Macaca mulatta: one gene and its partners. The main gene of each other region encodes a partner of the protein of the gene in region 2 in a complex. Links are inferred from orthologs where the notes say so. Each region holds a gene or a part of one and is shown on either strand. Other genes may lie near its edges.

The links.
Region 1: the proteins of CNNM2 (region 2) and ARL15 are in contact, whole or in part, in a crystal structure (PDB 8F6D), measured with the Homo sapiens proteins. The link is inferred for Macaca mulatta from reciprocal best matches to the Homo sapiens genes CNNM2 and ARL15. Residues at the interface, in NP_060119.3 of Homo sapiens: Asn490, Val492, Pro521, Leu522, His523, Phe524, Val525, Phe526, Thr529, Glu537, Lys542, Ser543, Gln549; in NP_061960.1 of Homo sapiens: Tyr92, Ser94, Arg95, Gln98, Gln128, His129, Pro130, Gln131, Cys133.
Region 3: the proteins of CNNM2 (region 2) and protein tyrosine phosphatase type IVA 1 are in contact, whole or in part, in a crystal structure (PDB 5MMZ), measured with the Mus musculus proteins. The link is inferred for Macaca mulatta from reciprocal best matches to the Homo sapiens genes CNNM2 and PTP4A1. Residues at the interface, in NP_291047.2 of Mus musculus: Phe526, Asp528, Val551, Asn553, Glu556, Gly557, Asp558, Pro559, Phe560, Tyr561; in NP_035330.1 of Mus musculus: Asp72, Gly73, Ala74, Gly107, Leu108, Gly109, Arg110, Arg137, Arg138, Gly139, Ala140, Phe141, Asn142, Lys144, Gln145.

What each region holds. Positions count from the first base shown.
Region 1 is NC_133411.1:62,119,744-62,123,967, forward strand, and holds the start of ARL15 (ADP-ribosylation factor-like protein 15), read right to left. Parts: upstream 2,939-4,224; 5' UTR 2,852-2,938; coding exon 2,804-2,851; intron 1-2,803.
Region 2 is NC_133414.1:115,196,086-115,199,736, reverse strand, and holds part of CNNM2 (metal transporter CNNM2), read right to left. Parts: intron 1,533-3,651; coding exon 1,395-1,532; intron 1,193-1,394; exon of another isoform or gene 1,128-1,192; intron 1-1,127.
Region 3 is NC_133414.1:120,656,847-120,659,814, reverse strand, and holds protein tyrosine phosphatase type IVA 1, read right to left. Parts: upstream 1,431-2,968; 5' UTR 1,086-1,430; coding exon 564-1,085; 3' UTR 523-563; downstream 1-522. UniProt on the Homo sapiens protein: Protein tyrosine phosphatase which stimulates progression from G1 into S phase during mitosis. May play a role in the development and maintenance of differentiating epithelial tissues.

The DNA of each region.
Region 1 (4,224 bases), on a different chromosome or scaffold from region 2:
TAGAGCTTCTTCATCTGTTTTAATAACTCAATCCTATTAAAAAGATTAATCCTGTTAAAAAAAAAAAATAGCACCTCCACCTTTCTCTCCCCTCTTCCTTTCCACTCTCCTCCAAATAAAAAGGTTAAGTGATGACATCCAGCCCAAAGAACAACGAACAATACATACACACACAGAGCTCTCTCTTCCAGTTTCCAACAGGAACAACACAAGACTGTCAAATACTGCTGAAAAAACCATTATTCTTGTCAAGTGCATGGAAAGGGAACTTACTCTAATCCATTCAGCAAAGTCTGGAGTCAAACTTGGAATGAAAGATGCATTTTTTTTTTTTTTTCCTGCAAGGTAAGTAAAAGAACTCAGGAATTTTTTTCAATAAGATACCAGATGCAAATAAATTATTATTCCTCAGAAATAAGGCTTTTAATAAACACCACACAGAGTATGCATAAGCAAGCAAATCAATCCGAAAGACAGGAAGAGAAGAATAATGTGTGGCACATCATTTTCTCTCAAAGTCGATAAGCAAAAGTGAACACAAAAAGGCCATCTCGGGAGGGCTAATTTTTTGTTTTGAGATGGTTTTTCTGTTTGTTTCCATCCAGTTTAATGCTAAAGAATTTTCTTAAATCTTTTCACAGGGGACACTTAGCACACTCACAAAAACTAAACTGTTTCCTTTAAGATTTCTTTTCTCACCTCCAAAGAGTAGCCAGTGGCTTTTATGGGGTTGGTCACTGCACTTGTGAATTTTAGACGGATAAAGTGGCAAAATAATGATTTTTTTAAAATATAAAAGTAAAACTAAGATGTATGGCAGGTAAAACTTTCTAAAAAGCCAAGTCAAATTTGGGGCCTGCTGATTTTGACACAAAGCTGTTAGTAAATTGGCAAAGAAATGAATCTGCTTTTAGGGTAACCTTGAGCCCAGGGAAAATAAAAAAGCCAAGTCAAAGTTGTGACCTGTTGATTTGACACAAAGCTGTTAGTAAATTGGCAAATAAATTAATCTGCTTTTAAGGTAACCTTGAGGCCACAAACATTCATCCACTCACCTTAAGACTATGCCTATCTAGAGGTTAGCCTGAGTAATTAACCAGAGTTATCAATTTTGTTTTCACTAATCATTTTGATAGGTTTGACACCTCAAAGACGGCTTTGTGATGCAATTTATAAATTTAAAACACATCCAGTAAATAAAGAAAATAGTAAAATGTCAGAACCACCTGATTTTCTTTTTTAAGAACTATTTAAGTATTCAAAATTAGCTTTTAGTAGTACAGAATGTCACCCTTTCCTACTTGGTAATTATCCCAACAAAGTTTGGCTTTAATTTACGCAGACTGCAAGACAAAAACCATGTATTGTAATATATAAGATAAGTTACAAATTAAATCTGTTATTTAACTTAGAAAACAATCTTCTGGACACTTTGGCAGCTCTCTTAACTTACAGGGCACCTTGTATTGTGAAGAGTGTTCATAATCAGACAACCCCCTTAACCAGCTACAGTACTGAGTGAATAATATCCCTTTATCACAAAGATAAAGGAAGTTACTGCCATCAACAAATGAACAACAAAACAGAACTTGAACTCAGAATTTTAGATTCAGCTCCATTCACAAGGCCATGCATTAACTGCAATCACCATCCTTTCCCACCAAGACCATCAAGCTCTGAAGCATTAGGAGAAACATTTTCTTTATGGACACTAAAATAAGCCCAATACACAGATGACAGTACAAAGCCGGTCCGGCGTTTCTTGGCCATCAAAGCATGCACAGACTTTCTCTGTACAGCCTTAAGTGTAATTCCTAGAAGGCACTGGCAAATCTCTGCCAGGCAGAGACTCTGCAGTCGAAAACCGAGTGCATGTGCTCAAGATGACAGGAGGGTCAATGTTTCTAACCGTCTACTTCAACTCTGCATGGCAATAGCGGTTCTGCCCAACATGGTAAACAAAGTAATCATATAGGATCGAACACAGTCCCTGTAAATGAGGATCCCCTTAAACGCAAACAAGCAGCTCTGGGGAAACATAATTTCCGCTCGCATAATTCCACTAAGACACACACAGAAGTCCATTTTTAAAATGATGTTCGGTCCCAGCACTGTGCTGACACTTTTCCCACCTAAACTTCTCAGCACAAGCCTGGCCTAAACAGCCGGGTTCCAGTCCGTGCACAGTGGAACAGCAGCACGCACCCAAGACCGGAATGGTGGGGCAATACCTGTCCCTACTCAGTCCTGTTCGGACCAGCCTGCGAGGTAGTTTAGAACCGTCTGCTTTATGGTAATGTGCTTTTAAAACCCCGCCACGACCGAGGTCATAGCTTTAGAGATTTAATAACAATCAAATGACCAGGGCTGCTGGGCACTTAGTGAGCCATTCTGGTTATGGCTCTTTAATAGCACCTGGAGTTCTGCTCCAGGGAGAGCGGAAAACTCCCGCTCCCCCGGAAAGAAAGTCCTCTGCGGAGAGCGCAGAGGGAAGCCAGGAAACCGATCGCGGGCAGGGGACGCGCCGCCGCGGCCGCCCCATCTCTCAAGCAGCCCCAGCGCGACCCTCGCCCCGCAGCCGTGCTGGCCCAGGCCGCACCTTTACCTGTCAGCTCCACCACCCGCCGCCCTGGAGGCTGCCCCTCCGAGTCCAGGGCACGGCTTCCGAGCCGGCTGCGGGAGAAAGAACCCCAGAGGCATCCTATCCCAAAGAAAGAAAGCAAAAAGGCTGCTCCTCAAGGCAGGGGGCCATCGGGCACGCCGAGATCCGAGAGGCGACATGCCACCCCTGCCATGCACCTACCAGATAATCCATGTACAGAAACGCCTCAGTTATCCGGAGATCAGACATCCGGCAGCCTAAAGCATCCGGAACGGCTTCGAACCCGGAAAAAAAAGCAGCGTCTCTGGCTGCGAACAAGCAGCTGCTGAAAAAGCCAGCAACAGCGAAAATAGCCGAAAGCAGCCGACTAGCCGGAGATTACACAAGGGGCGCGGCGATTGGCCAGGCGGGAGGGCAGAAGGAAAGAGGCGCGCTCATTGGCTGCGGCGCCTATAAAAGGCAGGCCCCAGTCGGTGGTGAGAGAGAAACGCGGGAGCGGCGGGGGGTGTGGGTTTGTGTGCGGTGAGCGGAGGAGCCGGGGTTGGGGCGGTGCGGCTGGGGTGGGGGTGGTGCAAGCGGAAGAAAGAGCCAAGAGAGCGGAAAAGCGACTGGTGCTGTCGCCGCCCGAGTTTTGTGTTTCTACAGCTTCCCAGTTGGGTACAGCGAAGCTGAACTCCGTGTTCCCGGGCTGGAGAGCCTTGGTGTCCCCGCCTACCCCCAGTAGGAAGCGAGCGCTGTAACGTGGGAGGCGTGGTCGCCACTGATCATCTCTCTCCCCAGAGAGCCTTCCTAAAGGCTTTGCCGCCACGAGACGGCACCACCGGGAAAGAAGTGTGTGGAAGTGTACCCCGTAAACAGGCAGTCCTGTACGCGACTTAGGGGCAGAAAGACCCTCCGCACTTTTATCATTTGAAACTAAGGCGGACGATTCCAGCCTGGTGTCCCTGAGTACACACAGGCCCCCGCGCGCAGCCAGAGTTGACTGAGGAACCCATCTTCGAACCCCTGCGTAGAATGCCAAACAGTCCTAGGATAATTCGCTTTCCTCCACGTGAAAAGGAAAAGAAAAACATGTGAGGACTCGCAGTAGTCACTTGTACTCCCCAAACACACGGGAAGAAGTGATCAGTTTGCATGCTTGGAGTGAAATTACACTCAGCACAAATCCAACGCCCCCGAGTCAAATGAGCAATAGAATCTCTGCAAAAAAAAAAAAAAAAAAAAAAAAAAAAAAAAAAAAAAAAAAAACACACAAGTAACAATATTTGTGACCCGATATTATTTCAAGAGGTAAAAACATCTGTAAGATGCATTTGGGACTTGTGCATTTCCTGGTAATGTCAACATCGCATTAAGCTAGTGGGGTTAGGCAGGGAAAGCCTGAATCGGACAAGAAACTGGCTTTTTCTTTTCTTTTCTTTTCTTTTTTTTGTTTTTTGAGGCTATAAATAACTAGACCATGCCAGACACAGCTATGTACTTAGGCTCAGGTGATTGGAGTGCCCCCCCATTCCCACCCTCAGGGCTTAGGGAGAATGGAAGATAAGGTGGATGCTCTCACCTGTATTAATAGTTAGGGTTTGCATATATACAGTGAAATTTCAAGAGTGAAACTTCATCAA
Region 2 (3,651 bases):
CCCCAAGAGCTGAGATTACAGGCAATGAGCCACCATGCCCGGCCTAGATGTTTAGTTTTAATTTGTGATTCTTAAATGATGAGGAACAGTATTATCAAAACTAGAAAAAGAATAATAAGTGAAAGACATTGTCTGTTATTTTCTAATTATGTATTTATGAAAGCTGTAAGTTCTGTATTAACTTGACTTTTTTGTAATAAGACAGTCATTATAGGAATTTTAGAAAATACAGAAAAAGAAGAAAGTAAAAATTATCTATAAGCCAACCACTCAGATTACCATTCTGAGCAATTGAGTGAGAATTTCTTTCCAGTGCCATGCCTAGGCACGTGTGCTCATGTATCCATGTGTGTACACACAAAAACACAACTCTAATCTTAAAGTACACATAGTTTTAGATTGTTTCTCCTCACTTTGTATTAAGTTATGAATATTTTCTAATGTGATAAATATTATATTGAGCATTTCCAGGCTTCTGAGAACGCGACCTTAAAGAGTTACACAGCATTCCGTCAGGTGGTTACGGCTAGCCTTCTTTTAAACATGGTTTAAGTCTACTGCATGCAGATGAAAGGCACTGGCTGCCTATCAGGGACACTGATGTCTTCTAAAGCCAATGGATGCTTTAGACTTTCTCACACTTCCCCTGGCCACCAGAGCTCAACCCTGGAGAGCATCTGGGGATGGGAGAAGGGTTGGTCAGTATCTTAAGTTCATTCAACGTTGACCTCTCTGGAGCAGTCAGTGCCGGCTGGGTTGGTGGTTTAAACAACATGAACACTTGCCTCCTGAAATGGACTCGAGTTAATCTGATCTGAGGAGGCCATCAAGAAATCCATATCAAAGTTCTTAGAATTTGATTTCATTAAAACCATAAAAGATAAAGATTTAATTGTGAAAACCTAGTTTTCTTCTTTGCAAATCATAGCCCCTGTGTTACCACTGATGTCCAACTGTGCTTCCAGGACAAGCTGAAGAGAGACTGGACTCAATTGTCCATCAAACAAGCTGGTGCCAGGCTGGCACCATCAGCCTGCTCCGCCAGCTGGCTCTCCCACAGACCTAGCTGGAAGGAGATGGCCTGGCCTACTGTTCACATGCAGTGTGGCACTAACATTCATCCTTACCTTTCAGACCAATTTTAAGTTACTGGTCCACCCCTGGTAAATGTCTCAGAGGGTTCATGCCGACACTGAACATAGGAGAGGAGAGAATTTAAAAAGAAAAAAACAAAACAAAACAAAAAAACAAAAAAACAAAAAACAAAACACAAAAGTGGCATTACTTATCACCCCATTTCCCAGTGTCCACCCCCAGCCCACCCCAGTCAGTGGTGGGTGAGAAACACACTCCAGGGTTGGTAGAGATCTCAAACTGTGATAAGCTGCACTTGCCTGTTGCTAGGAAACGGTGCATGGCCAGGAGGAGCTGTGGTGATATTTTAACCTTCATCTCGCTGTCTGTCTGCTTAAAGGCAGAAAAATCTTGCTTTCGTTCCCGGTGAGCTACTTTCTTTTTTGTTCTGTTGTCAGCTAAGGGAGGAATGAAAAGAGAAAAAAAAAAAAATAAGAAAATGCATCCCATGAGATCAGGGCTCTTTCTGAATGAAAAAGACAAAATATATTGGAAGGGCTGGACTGTATTTCCAGATGCAGGCGCTCTAGGCATAGATGCCACAGGGAAGGAGGAAGGGAGGGCCAGATCCTCATCAACTCAGCACAGCAGCCTGGGCACCACGCAGTCCGCAGTGAGTGACCACAGGCAGCCTGATGAGTGAAGGTACTTCAGGAAGGTCTGCAGAGGGCCCTTGTGAGCATAGCATCAGGCAAATGCTGACAGAGCCTCTCACAGGACCCACAGAAGCATATAGCAACAGGGCGTGCAGCCTGGAGTGCACAGTCCACTGCTGCTCAATGTCACCATACTCCAGCAAAGGACCACCACTGTGTACACACAAGGGAGGAGTGTCCCTACCTGTAAGAGGCCCCTCACCTCTGCTGAAAGACAACACACAAATGAAACCCCCTTAAGAAACAAACAAGAATGCTTTCACAGAGCAGTGTTTTAATATCTGTTTGCTTCACTGCTACTCCAGACCATGAGATCCTCAAGGTCAAGCAGATGCGAATGGGATCCGGACAGTGGTCCGTGAACTTCCTCTGAAAAGGTCCAGGGAGTCAATATTTTAGGCTCTGCGGGTCTACACAGTCTCCACACTGCTGTTTAGAAAGATGAAGGAGCATGGCTGTTTTCCAATCAAACTTTATGAACACTGCAATTTGAATTGCATACAATTTTTGCACGTCACAAAGTAATTGTTTTTTTTTTTCTTTTCTTTTTTCTTTTCTTGAGATAGGTTCTTGCTTTATTGCCCAGGCTGGAGTGCAGCAGCACAATTGCAGCTCACAGCAGCCTCATCTCCAAGGCTCAAGTGATCCTCTCACCTCTGCCTCCCAAGTAGCTGGGACTGCAGGTGTTTGCCACCATGCCCAGCTAATTTTTAAATTTTTTGTAGAGACAGAGTCTCACTATGTTGCCCAGGCTGGTATTGAACTCCTGGGTTCAAGCAATCCTCCTGCCTCAGCCTCCCAAAGTGCTAGGATTACAGACATAAGCCACCATGCTGGCCATTTTGCAACAATTTTAAGATGTGAAAAGACATTCTTAGCTTGCAGGTCACACAGAAGCAGAGTACAGGCACTCATCGGCTGTGGTTTGCCAGCTCCTGACCTAGAAGGTACCTCCTGCAAAACCATCTTTTAAGTACTTTTCTGGACAAAGTAATGATCAAGAAAAAAAGAGCTTAAAGACAAGACCCCAATCGCTTGCTCCTTCCCAATAACTGACTCACTGCATTATTGTTTCTTGCATGGAGCAAAACAGATTGATTACTAGGCTTTTCCTGAGAAGGCGATCACAACTTCTACTTTTCGTCTGCCTCAATTCTTTTGAGAACTAGACAGCAGAAATCAATACAGAATTTAAAAATAATTCTAATGGCAACAGCTGTCACTCCCAATCTCTATCCAGATCAAGAATATACCTGAAATTGGCCAGGCACGGTGACTCACGCCTATAATCCCAGCACTTATGGGAGGCCGAGGCAGGTGGATCACTTGAGGTCAGGAGTTTGACACCAGTCTCCCCAGTATGATGAAACCCTGTCTCTACTAAAAATATAAAAATCAGCCAGCTACTCAGGAGGCTGAGGCTGGAGACTCGCTTGAACCCGGGAGGTGGAGGTTGCAGTGAGGTGAGATCGCGCCACTGTACACTCCAGCCTGGGCAATAGAGTAAGACTTAGTATCAAAAAAAAAAAAGAAAAGAAATACGTGAAATCACAAGTCCAGCATCTTGAGCCAGTAGGTAACATTAGGCAACACTTCTGTAGGAAATCAGTCCAATCAAGGCTTAAAAGAAGTTAAACTAACATTTGTATAAAACTGAAGTGCAAATACAGGATCTCCTAAATGGTACATCGCCTTTCTAATGTTAAGTATCACCCCTGGGTAAAAAGAAATACAGAGACACACTTTTTTTTTTTGAGACAGAATCTTGCTCTGTCACCAGGCTGGAGTGCAGTGGTGTGACCTCTACTCGCTGCAACCTCTGCCTCCAGGGTTCAAGTGATTCTCCTGCCTCAGCCTCCCG
Region 3 (2,968 bases), about 5.5 Mb from region 2:
AAAAAAAAAATCAATGGTTAGGCAAACCTGATGTATACTGGTATGAGTGTGGGAGATGTAAACATCAAGTGAGCAAATAACCATGTAAGCCCTATTTTCAATGTTTGAAATGATTGAAGGAATAAACCACATAAGGTCTAGAGTGTTCATAGTTCCTGGGATTTTAGTTCTGTATGGTACTAAAAATATACAAGTATTGTGCTGGGTATTTTGGCACCTAATCTTCCTCAATTTCTTATGTATTGATAAGATTCTGGCATGGGAATAGAAACAAGTCATAACTCAATACTGCATGATTTTGGGAAAGGTCAACTGATACAAATGACAAGCACATTTTATATGCTGACAGCGAGAATCTTTTGCCAAGTATCCAAATAGGTTGACTGTAACCCAAATACAGAGTTTGCCAAATCTGTCTAGCTTGTGGCCTGGTAAAACTGCCTTTCAATACTCCTATGGAAGCTACACTAGACTTACTCACTAAGCCAACATGTTGGCTAATATGTATAACAAATTAGGCTCTATCTCAAGTTCCACTTCCAATAGCACTAGGCACCCCAATTTTATTGAATGCAACAGTTGTTTCTATGACCATTGGAATCTTTGAAACACAGCCGCATTTTAGGACGATACTTCTCCAAATACAAAAGTTGCTTGCTGTTAAAAGCTCCATGCTGCTTTTGTTTTATGAATTGTACTGCATCTTCATATTTCATTCCACCTTCAATTAATGCTAGGGCAACAAGTCCTGGAGCTCTCTCAAGGCCTGCCACACAGTGAACAGCAATACAACAACCAGGTTCTTCACGAAACTTAATTTTTACAAGGCTTAACCAGTCATCAACAATCTGGTTGGATGGTGGTGCACCATCATCAAAAGGCCAATCAAGAACATGGATACCTTCTTTCTCCACAAGAGTGATGTCATAAGTTGCTTCACATACTCTTACTATTGTGGTAACTCCATACTTCTTAAGTTCCTCTATAAATTTGTTTAAGGTCACATTGGTTGGATTGTGTGTAATAAGAAATCTTATGTTCTTGTATGTGACTTCCACAGGAGCTGGGCGGTTCATTCCAGCCATGTTAATTTAGTTAAAAAACACTCAATAGGGTTATGAAATAATTTTTTAAAAATTGGAATACAGAAATGATGCAAAGAAACTGAAGTCTACTTCAATATACTCCACTGAAATTCTCAGTGCTTGAGTATGAAGTTGTAAGTAATGATAAATGAAATGAACCTCCTAACAAGCAGCAGCAATTCTTTAATCCAGTAATACTGAGGCCACCAGAAAAGAAGTGCACTGAGGTTTACCCCATCCAGGTCAGAACTCTTGTAAAATGCTCTGTGGATTTCAATTCAACACTTCTGTGTCCAGGATAACCAGTCTTATGTGGGCTTCTTGATGGAGTATTAATCAGTTTCTACAGTTCACTTGTCTGCATAGAGGTCGTGCTGTGCCTGGCAGTAATCTCCACTGCCCTTCAGAAACTCCATAAATGTGTGACCAAGAACACCACAGCATTGAGCAATATGTTTACTCATTGAAGATTGTGGCCTAATCATACAACCAGTCCCGAGGCGGCGTCAACACAGGCGGTGGTGGCGGCTGCAGGGCAGGAGGCAGCGGTGGTCATGGCGGAGCGGCGGTGGCGGCGTTGCAGGAGGCGGCAGGGGCACCAGACCTGTATTTTATTTTTTTTTTTATAAGAATGCAGGTAATTCCTTCTTCCTGCCTATCTTTCAGAGCACCTGTGACATTTACTAATTTAGAAAAAAATGCAGAACCTATTTAACACTGTGATGAGACGAGTTATATAATGCATGAAAATAATGTTTTATTTTCAGGCTGTTCATAAAGTGGTTTTACCTTTTACAACTTCCTTGTAAATTGATTAAAGGATCTTAGTCAAATATTTATAAATAGGAGAACTTAAGCGCTCTTCTTAAGCCACTGTAGTTTGGAATTTAAGCAGAGATACAATGATTGGTTTCAGGCCTATTCCAGAATTTGTTGATGCGTGGCAATATTTTAAAGGACAGTACCATCATTCCCTGGGTAGCGTGTGAAAAGAACCAGCATCTTTGCTCTTCCTCTAGTTTTCTCTCGTTTCTTTATAAAAACAATCTAAAATAAAAGATATTTTATCAAATGGTATCACAAGGTGCAGCATTTTGTGAGCCAATAAGTCACTGTTCTAATTTGTGAGACATATATTTGTACTAAAGTCATGTAACCATCAAGGAAGGGAAAAACCTAAAAATGAGAAGGAAGAAAACTGAGGGTAGTATTTACCTGAATGAATACAGAAGCATTAAAGGAAGAGAGACTATGCTGTACTCTAAAATAATGTCTCCAAAAAATGGAAAACTTTTGAAGGAGAATATGGATATTTTTCCTTTAGCATAAACTAGCATAGCATTCTTAATTAGTTTGAAGAATTATTTCCTCAAATAAATTGCTATTCAAATTCAAAATAGCTGCAATACATGCTCCTATTATAAGTTAAGAGAAATAGTGTAAAATAATCAGGTATCAGACTGGTTTCCAACCCGATTTCACCACTAACCAGCTGGAACCTCATCGATCATAGAGTGTGATAATTGTTGTCTTAGATCATCTTTTGAGCATGTTGTGTGTATATGTGCCCAAAGGATCCAACATTGTTTTTGAGGTCTTCCTTTGTAGGGTTTCCCACAGGCCAGAACACGGAGCACGAGTTAAAAGCCAGGTAGAGGTGTCCAGTCATTGGGAATGAGATGGCAGAGTAAAGCCCCTTCCCAACTCGGATACATCGACCCTCCAGGAGTCCGGGGTCGACCGCCCCCGCGGGCAGGGTGCGCCGACTCAGCGGGGGGGACCCGCGGCTGAGGGGGCGCAGAGTAGGCAGCGGGAAGAGGCGGAGGCAGCCCCTGGGAGGCCGAGGGGAGGTCGCCGGCTGCGCCTCCAGTGCCCGGAGCCCC